4 linked regions of the Saccharomyces cerevisiae S288C genome follow. Changing the gene in region 3 together with the main gene of any one other region gives a genetic interaction. Each region holds a gene or a part of one and is shown on either strand. Other genes may lie near its edges. The genes, in order: PPG1, VPS51, MGA2 and FAR3.

The links.
Region 1: mutations in MGA2 (region 3) and PPG1 together harm fitness more than expected from each alone (negative genetic interaction), as found in Saccharomyces cerevisiae (3 studies listed by BioGRID).
Region 2: mutations in MGA2 (region 3) and VPS51 together harm fitness less than expected from each alone (positive genetic interaction), as found in Saccharomyces cerevisiae (3 studies listed by BioGRID, with this or other methods).
Region 4: mutations in MGA2 (region 3) and FAR3 together harm fitness more than expected from each alone (negative genetic interaction), as found in Saccharomyces cerevisiae (3 studies listed by BioGRID).

Annotation. Positions count from the first base shown.
Region 1 is NC_001146.8:684,031-688,350, reverse strand, and holds PPG1 (putative serine/threonine-protein kinase PPG1), read right to left. Parts: upstream 2,342-4,320; coding exon 1,235-2,341; downstream 1-1,234. Other genes in the region: ABZ1 (4-amino-4-deoxychorismate synthase), read right to left, coding at 1-716; ubiquitin-like protein HUB1, read left to right, coding at 887-1,108; mitogen-activated protein kinase kinase kinase SSK2, read left to right, coding at 2,918-4,320. UniProt on the Saccharomyces cerevisiae protein: Involved in glycogen accumulation.
Region 2 is NC_001143.9:476,051-479,578, reverse strand, and holds VPS51 (Vps51p), read right to left. Parts: upstream 1,242-3,528; coding exon 747-1,241; downstream 1-746. Other genes in the region: ALY1 (Aly1p), read right to left, coding at 1-345; IRS4 (Irs4p), read left to right, coding at 1,516-3,363.
Region 3 is NC_001141.2:413,570-420,117, forward strand, and holds MGA2 (Mga2p), read left to right. Parts: upstream 1-2,554; coding exon 2,555-5,896; downstream 5,897-6,548. Other genes in the region: malate synthase DAL7, read right to left, coding at 1-1,110; DAL3 (ureidoglycolate hydrolase), read right to left, coding at 1,461-2,048; LYS1 (saccharopine dehydrogenase (NAD+, L-lysine-forming)), read right to left, coding at 6,046-6,548.
Region 4 is NC_001145.3:377,245-381,021, reverse strand, and holds FAR3 (Far3p), read right to left. Parts: upstream 1,437-3,777; coding exon 822-1,436; downstream 1-821. Other genes in the region: STB2 (Stb2p), read left to right, coding at 1-676; YMR051C (gag protein), read left to right, coding at 2,697-3,777. UniProt on the Saccharomyces cerevisiae protein: Participates in the control of the reentry into the cell cycle following pheromone treatment.

The sequences.
Region 1 (4,320 bases), on a different chromosome or scaffold from region 3:
TTTTCCCACCTTCCTGTCTTCACGTTATTTATGAAACTCAACTTGAGAAAGTTACTGACTAACAGCCCCCCCAATTCTGAACAACATGACTCCGGGTGGTACTGTACGCCAAACCATGGCTTATTTTTCGTTTGAGCACTCATCAAAAGAATACCGTTCTCATCTTCGGTTGTGCATAAGGGCAAAAGGGTGTCAATGCCTTCGGCATTGACATGCAATGAATGGTACCTCGTAGATTTGAACGTATCGGGATAACCAGAAAAAAGGCCACAAGCTCTGGCTGCATCGTTTAAATGCATTTCATACACTTGCCCATGCTTGATAGTATTTAGCTCACTGACATCAGCACCTTGAGCCAAGCACATTGCTTGGAACCCAAGACATATACCCAATATTGGAACTTCATCTAACTTTCCATTGGCATTCTCGAAAAGCTCAGATATTATACCCATATCTTGTGCACCATTGTTGGGATTCCCAGGTCCTGGGCCAACAACGATAGCATCAAAAAGCGGCAAAAGTGGCAATAGCTGATCCATAGATTGGAACGTATCACTATGTACCGTCGTCACGTGCACGGCGTTGACTCCCGGTGAGATATCAGTTTGTTGTTCAATTAGTCTCACTACATTGTAGGTGAATGAATCATAAGAGTCTATGAACAGGACATGAAGCTGTTGCTGTTGTTGCTTTGTGTCAATTGTATCGGACAGCATTCCTTTATCCCCCTTGTGAAATCTCGAAAGGTCATCGTGTAAAAGTTCTACGGGAGACTTGCTTGTTTTTATATATTCGCGGTTTTGGCTGAGAGAGATGAGGAGGGAGAGGAAAAGATTGAGAAAGAGGAGCGGTGGCAAAGCTTAGATTGCAAATAAATACTCTGAAAATGATTGAGGTAGTTGTGAATGACCGATTAGGCAAAAAAGTCAGAGTGAAGTGCCTTGCTGAAGATAGTGTAGGTGATTTCAAAAAAGTATTGTCCTTGCAAATTGGCACCCAACCAAACAAAATTGTGTTGCAGAAGGGTGGAAGTGTTTTAAAAGACCATATCTCTCTGGAAGATTATGAGGTACATGATCAGACAAATTTGGAGCTGTATTACCTGTAGAAAATGCGCTGTTTTTTTTTTTTTGATCTAAATACACAATACATACATTTGCAACCGAGAGAGATAGAATATGTAGAAATAATAAGATGGCGTTGTCTCTATAATGCTTTTCTATTGTTTAGTAAGCTACAAGAAGTAATCAACATGTCTGTTAGAAGCAGATCTGGCTTGGTATACATCTGAAAATATGTACATTTCAGGGTCCGTGGAGCCATCTGCGGAGGCAGAGTCGTCTTCGAAATAATCTGCAATCAATTTCCTGTTGGCTACCGGATTAGATATGCTATCTTCTAAGGCATTGTCGTTCATACTGTTCTCTTTCAACAGTTTATTTTCAGGTGCCTCTTCGAAAACGTTGAAGTAGAATTGATCTTTACTATACAGCTCCAGAATAGATGCTTTATTGCCGCACCGATAACAATAGTTTGGCGCCGACCATACAGTAGTAACCAATCCATCAAAATATATCTGGTAACCTTCGTTACATAACTGATGGGCTCTGTATATTCTGTTCATATCGTTCATACGTAAGAATTTCTCCACCACGCTTCTTCCGAAAGTATAACCTGCTCCACGAGGTGACACCTGGAAATGTTGTCCAGAGTTATCTGGATGATCTAACGTGGGGTTATTGTTTTCTTCCGGATCAGACCAAACCAAGTCTGCCATGGCGCCATCGTGTGGAATTTCTCGAAATCTATCAATAATCTTGATCTGATCTATGGTTTGAACATTGGGCGAGAGCCCACCATGAACACAAAAAATTTCGTCGTCGATAATACAGCATAACACTAGATAGTCAAATATATCTGTCAAATATTGCCAAACTCTTGAATTGCCACCGTACTTGTTCAAGCACTCCGTGTAGAAACCATAGCTCTGCGTGATTTGACGTGACTCGTGGTTTCCCCTCAAAAGATGAATTCTACTAGGATATCGAAGCTTAAGCACAATCAATAGCATAATTGTTTCCACACTGTACAACCCCCTGTCTACATAGTCGCCCAAGAACAGATAATTCGTATCAGGAACAGGGCCGCCTATTTGGAAGATCTCCAGCATATCGTGAAACTGTCCATGCATATCCCCCACGACTGTGACAGGGGTCTGAATGTGAATCACGTTTGACTCCTTCACTAGCATTTCCTTCAGCTTAAAGCAGAGTGCCCTTACAGTCACTTCAGGTAGTAACTGGGCCTTGTATAGCCTTTCTAAACATTCGTCCAATTCCATCTCTACTGGGCCAATTCTCTAACCAAAAATAAAAGTACACAGTGGGGATACAACTGCAATGAGTGGAACTTAATAAACAGTCACGAACTGTTCCAAATTACCTACAACTCGCTGAAAATACCGCGTTTCATACCCTGAAACAGTGGGTATTTTAGCAGTTTTGCATTATTAATTACTGCTCCATCACCCGGGAAACTCGCGCCACTTTTCGGGCGTTTCTTTGTATGGAAAGAATTGATTAATCTGAAAAGAGTGATAAAGGTGGGTAAACAGAGATAGAAAGAAGCCAAATCTGCAGATTAGAAGAGGTTAGAAGATTGTAATTGTTGCTGCCCCAGTGTGTTATTGCCTTAGAGAGTAGTACTGTTAAAGAACAGCTAAGAACGGGTGTTTTCAAAACGAATTACTGGTTTACAAAGAATTCAAAGGAAAAAAAAAGGTTCCAGCATATTTGTTAACTTTTGTGTGAGCTCCGTCTGTCCTTCAAGTTACTATTGGGCAGTTTCAAGTACAAACAGTCTGCCATTACTAAAAAGAAGAGAAGCCTTTGCGTAAACTATTTGACAGGCACAAATAATGTCGCATTCAGACTACTTCAATTATAAGCCTTACGGCGATTCCACGGAAAAGCCCAGCAGCTCCAAGATGAGGCAGTCATCTTCATCATCTTCATCTAGACTAAGGTCGGAAAGTTTAGGGCGAAATTCCAATACTACGCAGGCTCGAGTAGCGTCATCGCCCATCAGCCCAGGGCTGCATTCTACCCAGTACTTTAGATCACCAAACGCTGTTTACAGCCCTGGAGAGTCTCCATTAAATACAGTACAGCTATTCAATCGTCTTCCGGGTATACCTCAAGGTCAGTTTTTTCATCAAAATGCCATTTCTGGGTCCTCCAGCTCCTCGGCAAGATCTAGTAGACGGCCCTCGAATATTGGTCTTCCTCTACCAAAAAATCCTCAGCAGTCTCTACCGAAGTTGTCTACTCAACCTGTTCCTGTACATAAGAAAGTTGAGGCTAGTAAAACAGAGAGCGAGATTATTAAGAAGCCCGCTCCCGTGAATAGTAATCAAGATCCATTATTGACGACCCCAACGTTAGTGATATCACCAGAACTGGCTTCACTAAATACAACGAATACATCGATTATGTCAACGCCACAAAATATTACAAACCAAACTTCGAACAAACACATTCCCACCAGATCGCAACCAAATGGGTCAACAAGTTCCTCCACTTTGCAGGATATTGTCACGACAAATAGCTCGCAACGGTCTGTAGGCCACCATGGTGGAAGCACAACGAGCCTCCGAACATACAAAAAACAATATGTATTAAATGAACAGTTATATTTAAGAAAAATGAGAAACCGTGCTAATGATGATTATTACACTAGAGGTATAGTCGCATCATCCAACTTTGAAGATGACGAAGAAAATTTTAGTAACAAAGGTGAAGATGACTTAGAACTAGAAATGGATGATCTTTTAAAGGTAGAAGGTGAGGATAAAGATAACGACTTCAATTTTGGTTATAATTTTATTACGTCGAGCACAAAAAATAATGAAAATGTTGTTTCGATGAGCCTAAATTATCTAAAGGGCAAATTGGATTGGTTGAGGGATGTGAACAATGATCAACCGTGTGAAATAGAAGATGAGGAGTGGCATTCCATACTGGGGAGCGAGGATTTGCTGTCAAAATTGTTACAAAATCCTATGGTGAACAACCGATTTGAATGGCAAACAATGTTATCTAAGGTACTGAAGGGAGATATTGTGAGGAATGAAAAAACGAAGATTGCAAATCAAGGGAAAGGCCCTGGCTTCAATACTCAGTTTTCAGATGACATTTGGATTGAGTTGAAGGCATGGATGAATGGGAGGACCGTGGAAGATCAGAACAAATCTCTGAGGATTTTTAGGGATTCTACTGACTCCGTATTTCAAGAAATCATGGCCTTTAAACTAGAAGATAA
Region 2 (3,528 bases), on a different chromosome or scaffold from region 3:
TGTGTGATTGACAACAGTTTCAACATCTGAAAATTCTTCTCTCTTCGGTGGTATACCTTCCGGCCACTCTGTTCTGGATATTCCTTTGAAGGTTATCGATATACTTTTTAATTTATTCGGTTTCAACACCCTGACGATAAGAGATCCTCGTAAGATACTGGGGGCTATTTCAGACAGTCCGTTAGTTTCAAATCCTTTTAAAAACACTATGGGTTCGGCAAGCTTTACAAAGACTTGTAGTGTTGTTGTCTGCACCAGTGGGACGGCATCAGGTGCTGCATTTATATCTTGCTCCATGGGAAACACTGGAGCTACAGTATCATTTTCTGTATTGAATTGGAGCATGTAGTCATAGAGGAACAAGCAATATTCTATGGGATTCCAGCGTATTTGTGCGGAATGGAACTTTCTGTTGGTTGTCTTTCTTGTTGCTTGTCTCTTATTTCAACGAGTTGTTCCCATTTTTGATAAGATGGGGATAGCGAAATAAGACAAAAGAGTCAATATTTGGCAATTCGCTCAAAGAGGTAAAAAGACGGCGCTATTATATATCTGCGTATATATACTACAAACAGCCGGGAATACATTTGGCAAAGTCCTCGTACGACAATAGGGCAATTGCTAGTAGTGTTAAGCAGTTTTTCAGGTGAACTTGCAAACCGAAAAAGAGGAAAAATTGGTTCACATAGTAAAATGCACTCTCTCGAAGGAAGTGTTCGGTGAAAGCCACGATATGCCGCTGGAAATTACAGTTCCTTGATTAAAGATTCTACTGTTTGCTTCAACTTGTTAATTTGGTCTTCATTGGCGTTTGTAATTTCTTTGAGAAGGTCGTTGACTTTTATTAGGTCATAATAGTTTTCGTAAATGGTATTCTTGATAGAATTGTTAGTCTCGGTTTCTTTGCCCAAGAGCTTATTGTGAATTTGTACTAGCCTCTTAAAGGGCAGGTTCTTTATCTCTTCTTCTGCATCTTCTGACCCCTCCTTGAGATCCTCTTCAGTTGCACTCAATTCGTCATCTTTCACTGGTTTCTCAGTGTTTGCTTCGGTATCTATATTCACATCTGTGACTTGCTCCTCCCCAGAATGAGCCTCGCTGGCTTTTTCCCCTATACGTGCTTCTTGACGACCTTTATTCGGTTCATTTTCCAAGTTGTAGAATTCTCTTAAGAGCAATCTTCTATCTTTGTTCAGACTGCTCACCCTCAGGGACTTTTTGTGACTAATTTGTTCTGCCATCTGTACTTAATATCCTCGTCAGATTCCGTCTCACCGCAAATACGCCTCTTCTATGCAGAGCCTCACCTATACGTACAACTTACTGCCTCTTGTTTCCACGCAGCGAAAATTCGATGATTTCTCGTATAAAGCATATCGAAGTTGAATCATCACAAAAAGGCCCATTGTGTAATGGACCCTTGCCACAACAACACTCTCGTTGCACAGGTAGAACATACTTTTAAGGCCTGGGTAGATTCATTTTTTTGACATAGGAAAAGATTAGCAGAGGAGTATGAGACTTTCGTTTGGTAAACAGCGTTATCATGGCGGTACAACAGTAACTTTGACTGAACAAGGAGCTTCAGATTCCCTTCGCGCTGCGCAAGCTATCTTCCAGAACCATTCCAATGAGGTCAGCAGTCCATGCCCTCCAGTAACGGTGAGCAGGAATCCTCAAACTAGGTTATCAGAGCCATCGCTACAAAAGTCAGGGCGGAAACAAGAACAAAAGAAGGCACGCATACGAACAAAACAGGTACCTAAGATTAAAACAACGGCGCCTAATGATGTTGAGTTGTCTAAGAAACACAGGTCAAGCCCTGCAGGTAAAGATAATGTTAGTAGTACTGCTCAAATGGCAGCTGCTTTAGCGCATTCACAATCGAAACTTAGTTCTGACAATAACTCCTCCCATTCTTCGGCATTGGATACACTAAAAGTTCTAGAAACTCCGAACTTGAATGGCTTGCTGGGCATTCATTCACGCTCAAGCTCAAGAAACGGCTCCAATGAATCACTGACGCCTGGCCAAAGAACTCCCGACAATAGATCTCAAGAGAATTTACTTACTTCCTTTAGTAGCGGTAGAAGGCTATCCTCGAGCTCTATGGAGCCTGCAACTAATAAAGACAGCAACAAAGCTCTGCCCAAACGCAGGCCGTCTCCTCCCTTGCAATCATCACTTGTCGGCAGTGGTCAGCTTCATGAAAATGAAAACCTATCATCAATTAGCATCGATTCCAGACATAGTCTCAATCCGGACACTTCAGACGTTATTTCTAATAGGTCACAAACAAGTCTATCTCAAACAATTAATCAACTCTCGTTATGTGAATCAGAGCCATCTATTGCAAGCTCAAACACTACTACTACAACGAGCAACCAGGGAAGTGGTTTGCCCAACTTGGTTCCGAACTATTCATCCGATATGAGGAAGAAGAAGCTTGTTAACAAGTTCAAAAGGAAAGTATTTGGTAGTAAGCCCAAGCACTTATCTTCACAATATGAAATGGATGCAAGCAGCGAAGAACTGGGACAACATGAACAACAACCGAGTATGAGATTTAAAACAACATTACGTAAAACCTCTGTAAGTACAAACGCAGAAAATGATCATGCATCCTCTCTACATGAGGGAAATCTGAGGTATAAGTACAATCCGTCCAACGACACGTATGATGTGTATGACGATACTGATTCTGATTCTGAATCTGATCAGAACCAGGACGCCTTGACCAAGCCACGCAAAAGAGATAGAATTAAGAGAAAGATCAGGAATTCTGCCAATAAAACTGCACATCATAGGCCTATCCACCGCACGAGAGATCGGAAATTCAATGAGGATAAACCCTGGAAATCACATACAGATATAACTTTCGTAACAGACAACGAAAGGAAGCGTTACGAAAGCATGTGGGTAAGCAACAGACACCGTCATTTGAACCTGTTGAGCTGGTGGCCCTCTATAACGGGTGATTCCGGAGCAATTAATACTTTACCCGAAGATGGATTGATATTGGGTATCATAGTCCGTGATATCTGGAAGCGGTCTAACTTGCCCAATAGTCTATTGGCAGAAATTTACACGAAGGTAGACACAAGAAAAGATGGTACTTTAGATAGGAAATCTTTTATTGTGGGTATGTGGCTGGTCGATCAGTGCCTGTATGGCAGAAAACTTCCCAATGTTGTCGAGCAATGCGTTTGGGATAGCGTAGATAGATATGCTTCCACCACGGTTGTGCCAGTGAGTACGCTAAAGGCGATGGCCAAACAAAAGAGAAAACAGATGAAAGAAGAAATCAAGAATATCAAGAAGGAAAACCGTGTAGTTCTTGTAGACCACAATAGCTCGTCGTGACGAGTGTGACTCGCACCACTTCGTAGGTAGACATATACAGAAGTATATATATATAATGCGTAATTCCCCCACTTGTTACTGTTAAGCTAATCGAATTGTCATCTCAGAAATCTTGTTCGAGATAAGGCCAATCTTACTAAAAAAATGTCTATTAGTCTTCTCTGT
Region 3 (6,548 bases):
CTTCATTTCTCTAATTTTGTCATTACGAACTTTGTTCATTGCAGCTTCATTAGCCTTTGGATCATCTTTTATGGGGATTTGGGCAGCCATACCACCCATCGCATGGACCCCTCTACGGTGACATGTATTGATCAATCTTTTCACATAAGCATCCATAAAAGGTGAAGTCATAGTCACTAGATCCCTATTTGGCAAAACGTGTTCAGGCAAGTTTCTCAGTTTTTTAATGGTCGAAAATATGTAGTCCCAACGACCACAGTTCAAACCGCTTGAATGTTCTCTTATTTGATAGATAATCTCCTCCATTTGGAAGGCCGCTGGCAAAGTTTCAATCAGAACAGTGGCCCTAATGGTACCGCGGGGCATTCCAATAAAATCTTGTGCAACACAGAATATGTCATTCCATAGTTTTACCTCCATATGGTGCTCCATCTTTGGTAAGTAAAAATAAGGTCCTTTACCAATTTTAACTAACTCTTTAGCGTTATGGTAAAAATATAAACCAAAATCGAAGATGGAAGCACTAATCGGTTCATCATCTATGTAAAGGTGCTTCTCCACCATGTGCCAGCCACGAGGTCTGACAATTAAAGTGGGCAGTCTTGAAATGTCATCCTTCAACCTGTACTCCTTTCTTGGTGTCTTGAAATCGATTTGATTTCTAATGGCATCATAAAGATTAACTTGTCCGTAAATCATGTTCTCCCAAGTTGGAGATGAAGAGTCCTCGAAATCAGTCATATATGTCGTTACTTCAGCATTCAAAGCGTTGACTAACATATTTCTCAATGGTGGCCCAGTAATCTCGCTGGATCTGTTGATCAAACCAGGGGCTGGGATAGCACCTTGCCATGTAGGATCGTTCCTGATTTGTTCGGTTTCCGGCAAGAAATCAAATCGGTATTCACCAGAGTCTAACTTTGATTGTAAATTGCTTCTGTTGGCTAAAAGCTGTTTCCGTGTTGAATTGAAAGTTCTATGCAGCAAAACAATGAACTCTAAGGCATCTTTTGTTAAAATATCAGCTACAGTAGTTTTGGAAGGTTCAAATTGAGGAGTCGTGTCGATGTCTGCGTATAGAGCAGTGTTGTCCAAGCTTATCTTCACCATTGTTCAGTGCTCTTTACCGTGCCTATGACACATACTCTAAGTGATATCAACTGCACAGAAAGTGAAGAATTAAGACTACATGCGTAAATGTCCCCATTTTATACTTATTGCTTCACCAATTGACGAAACTATCCAATCTTTGTGATACTTTCACGATGTACCTTATCCAAGATAAGCCAAAACTTATGAAATTCAATTTATGTGATAAGAAAAGCAAACGCAATTTTCCAAAATCCGCGGTATTCTATCGCACCGCAACTTTCAGCGGAGATTTTATGTCGATAATCGTAAACCTATGAAATTACTAATACATGAACATTTACATATTTACTTCGCCCACAGTCGCAGAATTAGATGATAATACAAACGTCGCCATCGCTGTAGTGTTCTTCCACACAGTCCTTCTCGGGCCTGTCAGGGTCCAGACTTTCGTAGATTAAGACTGAAAAATCCAAATGTTCTTCCTTGCCAAGTACTATCATGGGCGCATGCCAGGTACCTAAGCCATAGGTAACGGCCTGATTACCCAAACATGTAAAAGCCCTCAACGTAGACAAGTCTGGCTTATTTCCAATTTCTTTAGCGACTACTACCAAGTATGCTACTTCCGCTGACGTTCTCCCCATAGGCACAAACGTCTGCGTACTACACGGATGCTTTTCGAGGACTTTGATAGAATGAGAAATCGCCTGATTGGAGCCTTGAGTGAATACTCTATTCAGGTGCGGCTGTGGAAAGCAACGGAATAGGTTCCAATTGGGAACTTTACTGGTAGATTTATTCTCTACCTGGCTTACTTGAAGCAATTTGATCGCTGTTCCCTGGTTTGCACCTTTTTCAAGGTTTTGCATCCTTGAAATCTCTTCATCTGGCGAAATTATCGTCCCATACTCCTCGAAGGACTCTTTCGTCAATGTCTCCGCCACCACGGTCACCATATCTTTGCTTCAAAGATTTTTTGCCCTACAAGATAAGCATCAAGAGCGATTGGATGACAGTTACTGACTTATATATGCGAATGCACATGAATAGACCGCATATGCTTCTTATCAGTCTTACCTCGCTTATCTTTCCCCATTTATTTGCCAATCCATCTTATCTTATCTGGCACTTTGTCTCAGGGTTAGTGTTACAAAAAGGCTAGGACTTATTTCCAAAATTCTACTTTTGAAAATAACCCTAACAATAAAAGCAAGGGCATTCTGATGTTACCCTAGAAATGTCGTATTTCTTTTTATATCGTGGATCATGACAAAAAACTCAACATTTTCAAATGGGTGAGCTCTAAACCAGAAAATACAGCCGCCGAAAGCCTTTTAAAAGGACAGCGGCGCTTGATCAACAGTCGTTCTTGGGGTCGTTAAGACTAGATCCTGCTTCCCCCCCTTATTGTGCATTTAAAGGCACTTATTGAAGGTCATTTTGGCGAACAGAACATTTCGTTATGCAGCAGAACAGTGAGTTCTTAACGGAAACACCTGGAAGCGACCCTCATATATCTCAATTGCACGCGAATAGCGTAATGGAATCACAGCTCTTGGACGATTTCCTCCTGAACGGGTCTCCCATGTACCAGGATGATAGCATGGCGCATATTAATATTGATGAGGGTGCTAATTTCCAAAATTTTATCAAGACAGATGAGGGTGATTCGCCCAACCTGTTGTCTTTCGAAGGTATCGGTAACAATACTCATGTCAACCAAAACGTGTCCACTCCACTGGAGGAGGAAATGGAAAGTAACAGAGCCTTGAAGGAGGAAGAAGAGGACGAGCATGAAAATAAGGTTTTTAATGAAAAAAATATAGGCAACCCTGCTCATGACGAGATTGTATTTGGAAGAAAGGAGACGATTCAATCTGTTTACATAAATCCTTTAGATTACCTTAAAGTGAACGCAGCGCAGCTACCTTTGGATGTAGAGGTCTCAGGTTTGCCACAAGTATCTAGAGTGGAAAATCAACTGAAACTGAAAGTGAAAATTACGTCTGAAACACCACTAAACCAAAGCATGCTTTACTTGCCTAGCGATTCCATTTCAAGAGAAAAGTTTTATTTAAAAAAAAATATCGAGGATTTTTCAGAAGACTTCAAGAAAAATCTTCTGTACATCAATGCGTTTGTTCTATGTGCGGTCAGCAACAGAACGACAAATGTTTGTACCAAGTGTGTTAAGCGAGAACAAAGAAGAGCCGCTAGAAGGAAATCAGGTATTGCAGACAATTTACTCTGGTGTAATAATATTAATAGAAGGTTAGTCGTGTTCAATAACAAACAGGTTTTCCCCATAATGAAAACTTTCGATAATGTTAAGGAGTTTGAATTAACTACCAGGCTAGTTTGTTATTGCAGGCACCATAAGGCAAATAATGGCTTTGTCATATTATTCACTATAACAGATTGGCAAAATAGACTGTTGGGTAAGTTTACGACAACACCTATTATGATCACGGATAGAAAACCAGCAAATATGGATACCACCAAGTTTAATAACACTACTACCTCGTCCAGAAGGCAGCTAACGGAAGAAGAATCTACCACAGAATATTATTCAACGGATAACAACCAATTGAGCAAAGACGAAAATATGCCATTTCAATATACTTATCAACACAACCCATATGATAATGACAGTCAAATGAATAATATTCCACTGAAAGACAAAAACGTACCATTCCCATATTCCATCTCTCAACAGACAGATTTGCTTCAGAACAATAACTTATCACTGAACCTTTCTCTGCCCAATCAGCATATTCCATCACCAACATCTATGAGCGAAGAAGGCTCAGAATCATTTAACTATCATCATCGCGATAATGACAATCCCGTCCGTACTATCTCTTTGACAAATATTGAACAACAGAGTCAATTGAACCAACGGAAAAGAGCACGCAATAATTTGGAAAATGACATTGGTAAACCCCTATTCAAGCATTCCTTTTCAAATTCAATCAGTGCAACAAATACGATGAATCCAGCTTTACATTCAATGCAAGATTTCTCAATGAAAAACAACAACAATAATTTGCCATCAATTAATCGCGTTATACCTTCACAAGGCCCAATCAATGGTGGTATCGAAGTTACATTACTGGGTTGTAACTTCAAAGATGGTCTTTCTGTAAAGTTCGGCTCTAATCTTGCCCTTTCTACGCAATGCTGGAGTGAGACCACGATCGTCACTTATCTCCCTCCCGCTGCCTACGCGGGTCAAGTTTTCGTCTCTATTACTGATACGAATAATGAAAATAATAACGATGACCTTCCCCAAGAAATTGAGATCAATGACAATAAAAAGGCCATATTTACCTATGTTGATGATACTGATAGGCAACTGATTGAATTGGCTTTGCAAATTGTGGGATTAAAAATGAATGGTAAGTTAGAAGATGCAAGAAATATCGCGAAGAGGATTGTTGGCAATGATTCTCCTGATAGCGGTACAAATGGCAACAGCTGTTCAAAAAGCACAGGTCCCTCTCCAAACCAACACAGTATGAATCTGAACACAAGTGTTCTTTACTCCGATGAAGTCTTGATACAAAAAGTTATAAAATCATTGAACATAAATTCCAATATTTCCATATGTGATTCATTAGGGAGAACTTTATTACATCTTGCCTGTTTGAAAAATTACTCAAGCCTTGTGTATACATTGATTAAAAAGGGTGCTCGTGTTAACGATATTGATTCCTTTGGGCTAACTCCATTACATTTTGCTTGCATAAGTGGTGACCCTAAAATTATTAAGATGCTTTTAAATTGTAAAGTAAATTATTCACTGAGGTCACACAACGGATTAACTGCAAGAGAAGTATTCATAGCAAACCACATTCATTCAAAGGAAATAGACAAAAAACAAGATAACAGAGACAACCATAAGTTTGTTCATAATGACACTTATATCAGCGAAGTATTGTCATTGTTTGAAGAATTCCAAAACGGTACGAAGTTTACCGATAGTGTAGAAACAGACAGTAATTATTCTATTAGCAGGAAATATTCACAATCCAGTTTCAATTCAAGCCTGCTAGACAATGAATCTTTGAATGAGAACTTATTCGAAAGCCAAAGCATGATAAATCCCACTTCTATGGAGATTCAGCATCCAACCTTGCAACTATTTGAGAATTCAAGTTACTCTGAGTACGACCAAAGTGATTTCGAAGAAGACGGGGATGAAGATCTGTTCGTCACTGACGAAGTAGAAAAACCAGGTGTTGCATGCAGGGAGGAACAAAGCGAACTCCTTGATATTGGATCTAGCGCCAACGAACCCGAAGAGGATAATGGTAGTACATCTCTCTGGAATAGAGTTTTACATCGAATTAATGATGACTTACCAAAATATGAGGATCTGTTCCCGTTGTCTTGGGGTAAAGATGATAAATTGAAAACCACAAATCAAGACAGTATTGTGGAGCAGTCAGCATCTAATATTGAAAACTCTGAAAATTCGGAGGAAGAGGATTATGAGGAAGAGGAAGAATTTTTGAAAAAACAGTTTAACAGATTCTTCCAAAACAAACAAAACTTCCGAAATGATAAAATGTTAATATTTTTCTGGATACCCTTAACACTACTACTTTTGACATGGTTCATCATGTACAAATTTGGCAACCAAGATAGTTCCATCAATCATATAAGCGAATTAATCTCAGAGTACTTGAGAATTGCATTAGCAAAGTTCTTGCTGGGAAATGAAAGGATGAAAACTGCATTCAGGTCAAAATTATCAAACCTGCAAACAACAAGAATGTTGAACGATTTAATTGTCAGTTAGTCTGCTTTTTTACGTATATATATATATATATGTGTGTATAATGAAAAGACAGTACACTTAAAAGAAGAGAAAGTCATTTAAAAAAAGTCAAAAAAAAATTAAACTTGTAAATGTCAGCGTAACGATAATGTATATACTTTAAATGTAAACTACAATCTTGAAGATCTTTTAACACGAGCGCAATGTCTATCGAACAATTTCTTGGCTCTAACCCAGACAGGAGCAGTTTTTCTTTGAGGTAGGAGCTCTAAAGATGGTAAGAGATCATGAGAGAAAAATTCTGAAGCTTCTCTTGGCAGCAAAGAAGGCAAGTGATCAATAGAGATGACAGATAATTTAGGCCCGGCAGTGGTAGGTACCAGAACGGTAGGTTTGTTAAACACAGTAGCCACAGTGTATATTGGGATGGGGTTGTGAGGGTTGGTAGTGTCTGCTGATACGTCCACCACGGTCCTTAGTCTTCTGTTAGGATTATTCAGTTTCTCCATGTTAGTGAAAGGAGCAATTGGCTTCGATAGATATATACAATTGATAAAAATATCAGCTTGTGGAATTTCGTCAAAGGGACCACCACGGGAAGTTTCTTTGATATCCCATTTTAATATGTTAGCATCTGGAATACCAACTTTGTGCAACAGATCGATGGCACCGG
Region 4 (3,777 bases), on a different chromosome or scaffold from region 3:
TTCTGCTGTACAGAATATTGTGGAAAAATGGGATTTACCATTTGATCCATCTGTTGTTCGAATAGCTAGAGATTTGTTACGAATGAAATACGACATCCAAGCGCAGCAACACATACAAGAAATGGATGAGCATTATATGGGTAAATTAAATAAGGAGGGAACTGTTGGTCAGTACTCTAAATTCAACGAAAGATATAAAAGACTGCAAGAACTATATAAGAAGTATTCAGATGGTGCAAAAGTGTTTGAAGGGAGATTTGAAGACATTGACAATAAGCAACAACTTCTTCTCCATGAGATGCAAGAGTTAAATTCCTTATCATCTAGGTTGAAATATGATATGAGGATATTGGAAGTTCGTGTACGAGATATTGAAAGTAGTGTTGCTCAGTTTGATTCCAAATTAATTGGGTTGAAAAGCTCTCTTCAGGGACAGGGTAAAACTGGAATATGCTCTGCAATAGATCCCAAGAGTGATAAAGACGAATATGATAGATGCGTAAATGATTTGATGACCACTAACAACCCCACCTATGAAGCTCTTTGTTTAAAGATGCTGAGCCGCCGTTATTTTAAAGATTTAAAGAATGATACTGTGGGGTGGTTCAGGTGGTTATTTGGTAATAATTCTTTACACAATAATGCCAGTGAAGACGATAGAGGAATACGAGTATGATTTTTTTCGGTTCATCCTAATTTTTTTTTTTTTTCAAAAGGGATCTAAACATTTATCCGTTGTTATAAGTATATTAAAATATATAAATGCATTCAAAGGTTTGCTATTTCACGTCTGCTTACACTTTTGTTCGATCCATCGTAGGCTATTTCAGTACCTGGTACGTGTCTTGCAGGTATTCCAACTGTTTTTTAAAGCGGCTGTAATCTCTGGAATCTTTAGATATACGATCCCAATCCACTTCCTTCAAAAGTTTTTCAAACTGTTTGATAATTGAATGCAATTTTTTTTTTGTTTCTTCATTTTCTGTCTTCAATGACTCGTAATTTTGTTGAAGACTTTTGTTCCTTTCATCAAGCTTCTCTGATGAAAATGTGGCAATATTTCGTTCTCTTATTGCATTCTGTTCGTCGATAAAATTTTTAATATATGAGAAATGCTCATTTATGTTGTTAATTAGCGCAACAGCCTTTGTATTGAAGTACTCTTGTTTTTCAATCTCGTATATGAGTTTAAAATTTTCGCTGATAAGCTTCTGTGCCTCAGTGGGGGGAGATGCTTTTTGAGATGCATTATCTTTCCATGAATCTGGAATTATGTTTTTGCTCAAATTATCATAAGATATTCCTGACTGTTTGGCAAGGCGCTTTAACAATAGTTCTATTCGATCGGTCTCTTGTCTGTTAGCCCGACACTCTGCACTTAAAGCTTTTGTTAATTGAAGAAGATAATCGAAACTATCACTACCACCGCTATTCATATTTGCAAATCACTATATATACTGCTCTGTGCGAACTTATGATGGAAAAAACGAGCAAGAAGTAATAAATCACGGTTTAACTTTCTTCATTAATCGCCGAATGCTAGCCGGAGCTTTGAATGAACCTTTTATTGTGGTTATATTGTTATACAGGTGTCAATATAAACAATAAAAGTTGAAGCGGTGGCTCAATGGTAGAGCTTTCGACTCCAATTAAATCTTGGAAATTCCACGGAATAAGATTGCAATCGAAGGGTTGCAGGTTCAATTCCTGTCCGTTTCAATTTATTTTTTAGCCCTGTGCTTGAGATTATCGTCGACAATGACCAGCTATAAGCTGGCAAGATTGATGCTCTAAAACGCGGGGAATAAAATAATCAAGATGATTAATTGTTGGGATTCCATTGTTGTTAGAGCCTACAATATTAGGTACACAGAATATACTAGAACTTCTTCTCGAGGATGTAGGAATCGTCAAAAGGGAATCGATAGTTTTACGTAACGATATTACTTTATGTTCTTTCTGTTGGAATGAAGCTATAAAATATCATCTGTTCAGTAGTATTCATGCCACTCGTACATTATCATATACAGTGTAAGAAGATGATCTAAACATTGAGAAACAGTCGTAAAATTTAATGGAAGCAGAAATATAAGGATTGATAATGTACTAGGATAATGAAACATACGAAAGGGAGGGAGAAATAATTGTAATTGTATTATATAGGAGTATCGATTCCAATTTGAGGATTGGTATATCTCTCAGGGGAAATTTTATTATATTCTGTACACATAATAAAATAAAGCCCTTGCGAACAATAGAATCCCAACGGTTATCAAATTATTCACAAATTGATCACTTCCTTTTTATACTTTCCCTCTCGCTTCTTATTACATTATCAATCATTGCATTTCAGCTTCCCCTAAATCTGGTGACTGTTTCTCAATCTTTAGATCACCTTCTGTTGGAATAAAAATCCACTATCGTCTATCAACTAATAGTTATATTATCAATATATTATCATATACGGTGTTAAGATGATGACATAAGTTATGAGAAGCTGTCATCGATGTTAGAGGAAGCTGAAACGCAAGGATTGATAATGTAATAGGATCAATGAATATAAACATATAAAACGGAATGAGGAATAATCGTAATATTAGTATGTAGAAATATAGATTCCATTTTGAGGATTCCTATATCCTCGAGGAGAACTTCTAGTATATTCTGTATACCTAATATTATAGCCTTTATCAACAATGGAATCCCAACAATTATCTAATTACCCACATATATCTCATGGTAGCGCCTGTGCTTCGGTTACTTCTAAGGAAGTCCACACAAATCAAGATCCGTTAGACGTTTCAGCTTCCAAAATTCAAGAATATGATAAGGCTTCCACTAAGGCTAACTCTCAACAGACAACAACACCTGCTTCATCAGCTGTTCCAGAGAACCCCCATCATGCCTCTCCTCAACCTGCTTCAGTACCACCTCCACAGAATGGGCCGTACCCACAGCAGTGCATGATGACCCAAAACCAAGCCAATCCATCTGGTTGGTCATTTTACGGACACCCATCTATGATTCCGTATACACCTTATCAAATGTCGCCTATGTACTTTCCACCTGGGCCACAATCACAGTTTCCGCAGTATCCATCATCAGTTGGAACGCCTCTGAGCACTCCATCACCTGAGTCAGGTAATACATTTACTGATTCATCCTCAGCGGACTCTGATATGACATCCACTAAAAAATATGTCAGACCACCACCAATGTTAACCTCACCTAATGATTTTCCAAATTGGGTTAAAACATACATCAAATTTTTACAAAACTCGAATCTCGGTGGTATTATTCCGACAGTAAACGGAAAACCCGTACGTCAGATCACTGATGATGAACTCACCTTCTTGTATAACACTTTTCAAATATTTGCTCCCTCTCAATTCCTACCTACCTGGGTCAAAGACATCCTATCCGTTGATTATACGGATATCATGAAAATTCTTTCCAAAAGTATTGAAAAAATGCAATCTGATACCCAAGAGGCAAACGACATTGTGACCCTGGCAAATTTGCAATATAATGGCAGTACACCTGCAGATGCATTTGAAACAAAAGTCACAAACATTATCGACAGACTGAACAATAATGGCATTCATATCAATAACAAGGTCGCATGCCAATTAATTATGAGAGGTCTATCTGGCGAATATAAATTTTTACGCTACACACGTCATCGACATCTAAATATGACAGTCGCTGAACTGTTCTTAGATATCCATGCTATTTATGAAGAACAACAGGGATCGAGAAACAGCAAACCTAATTACA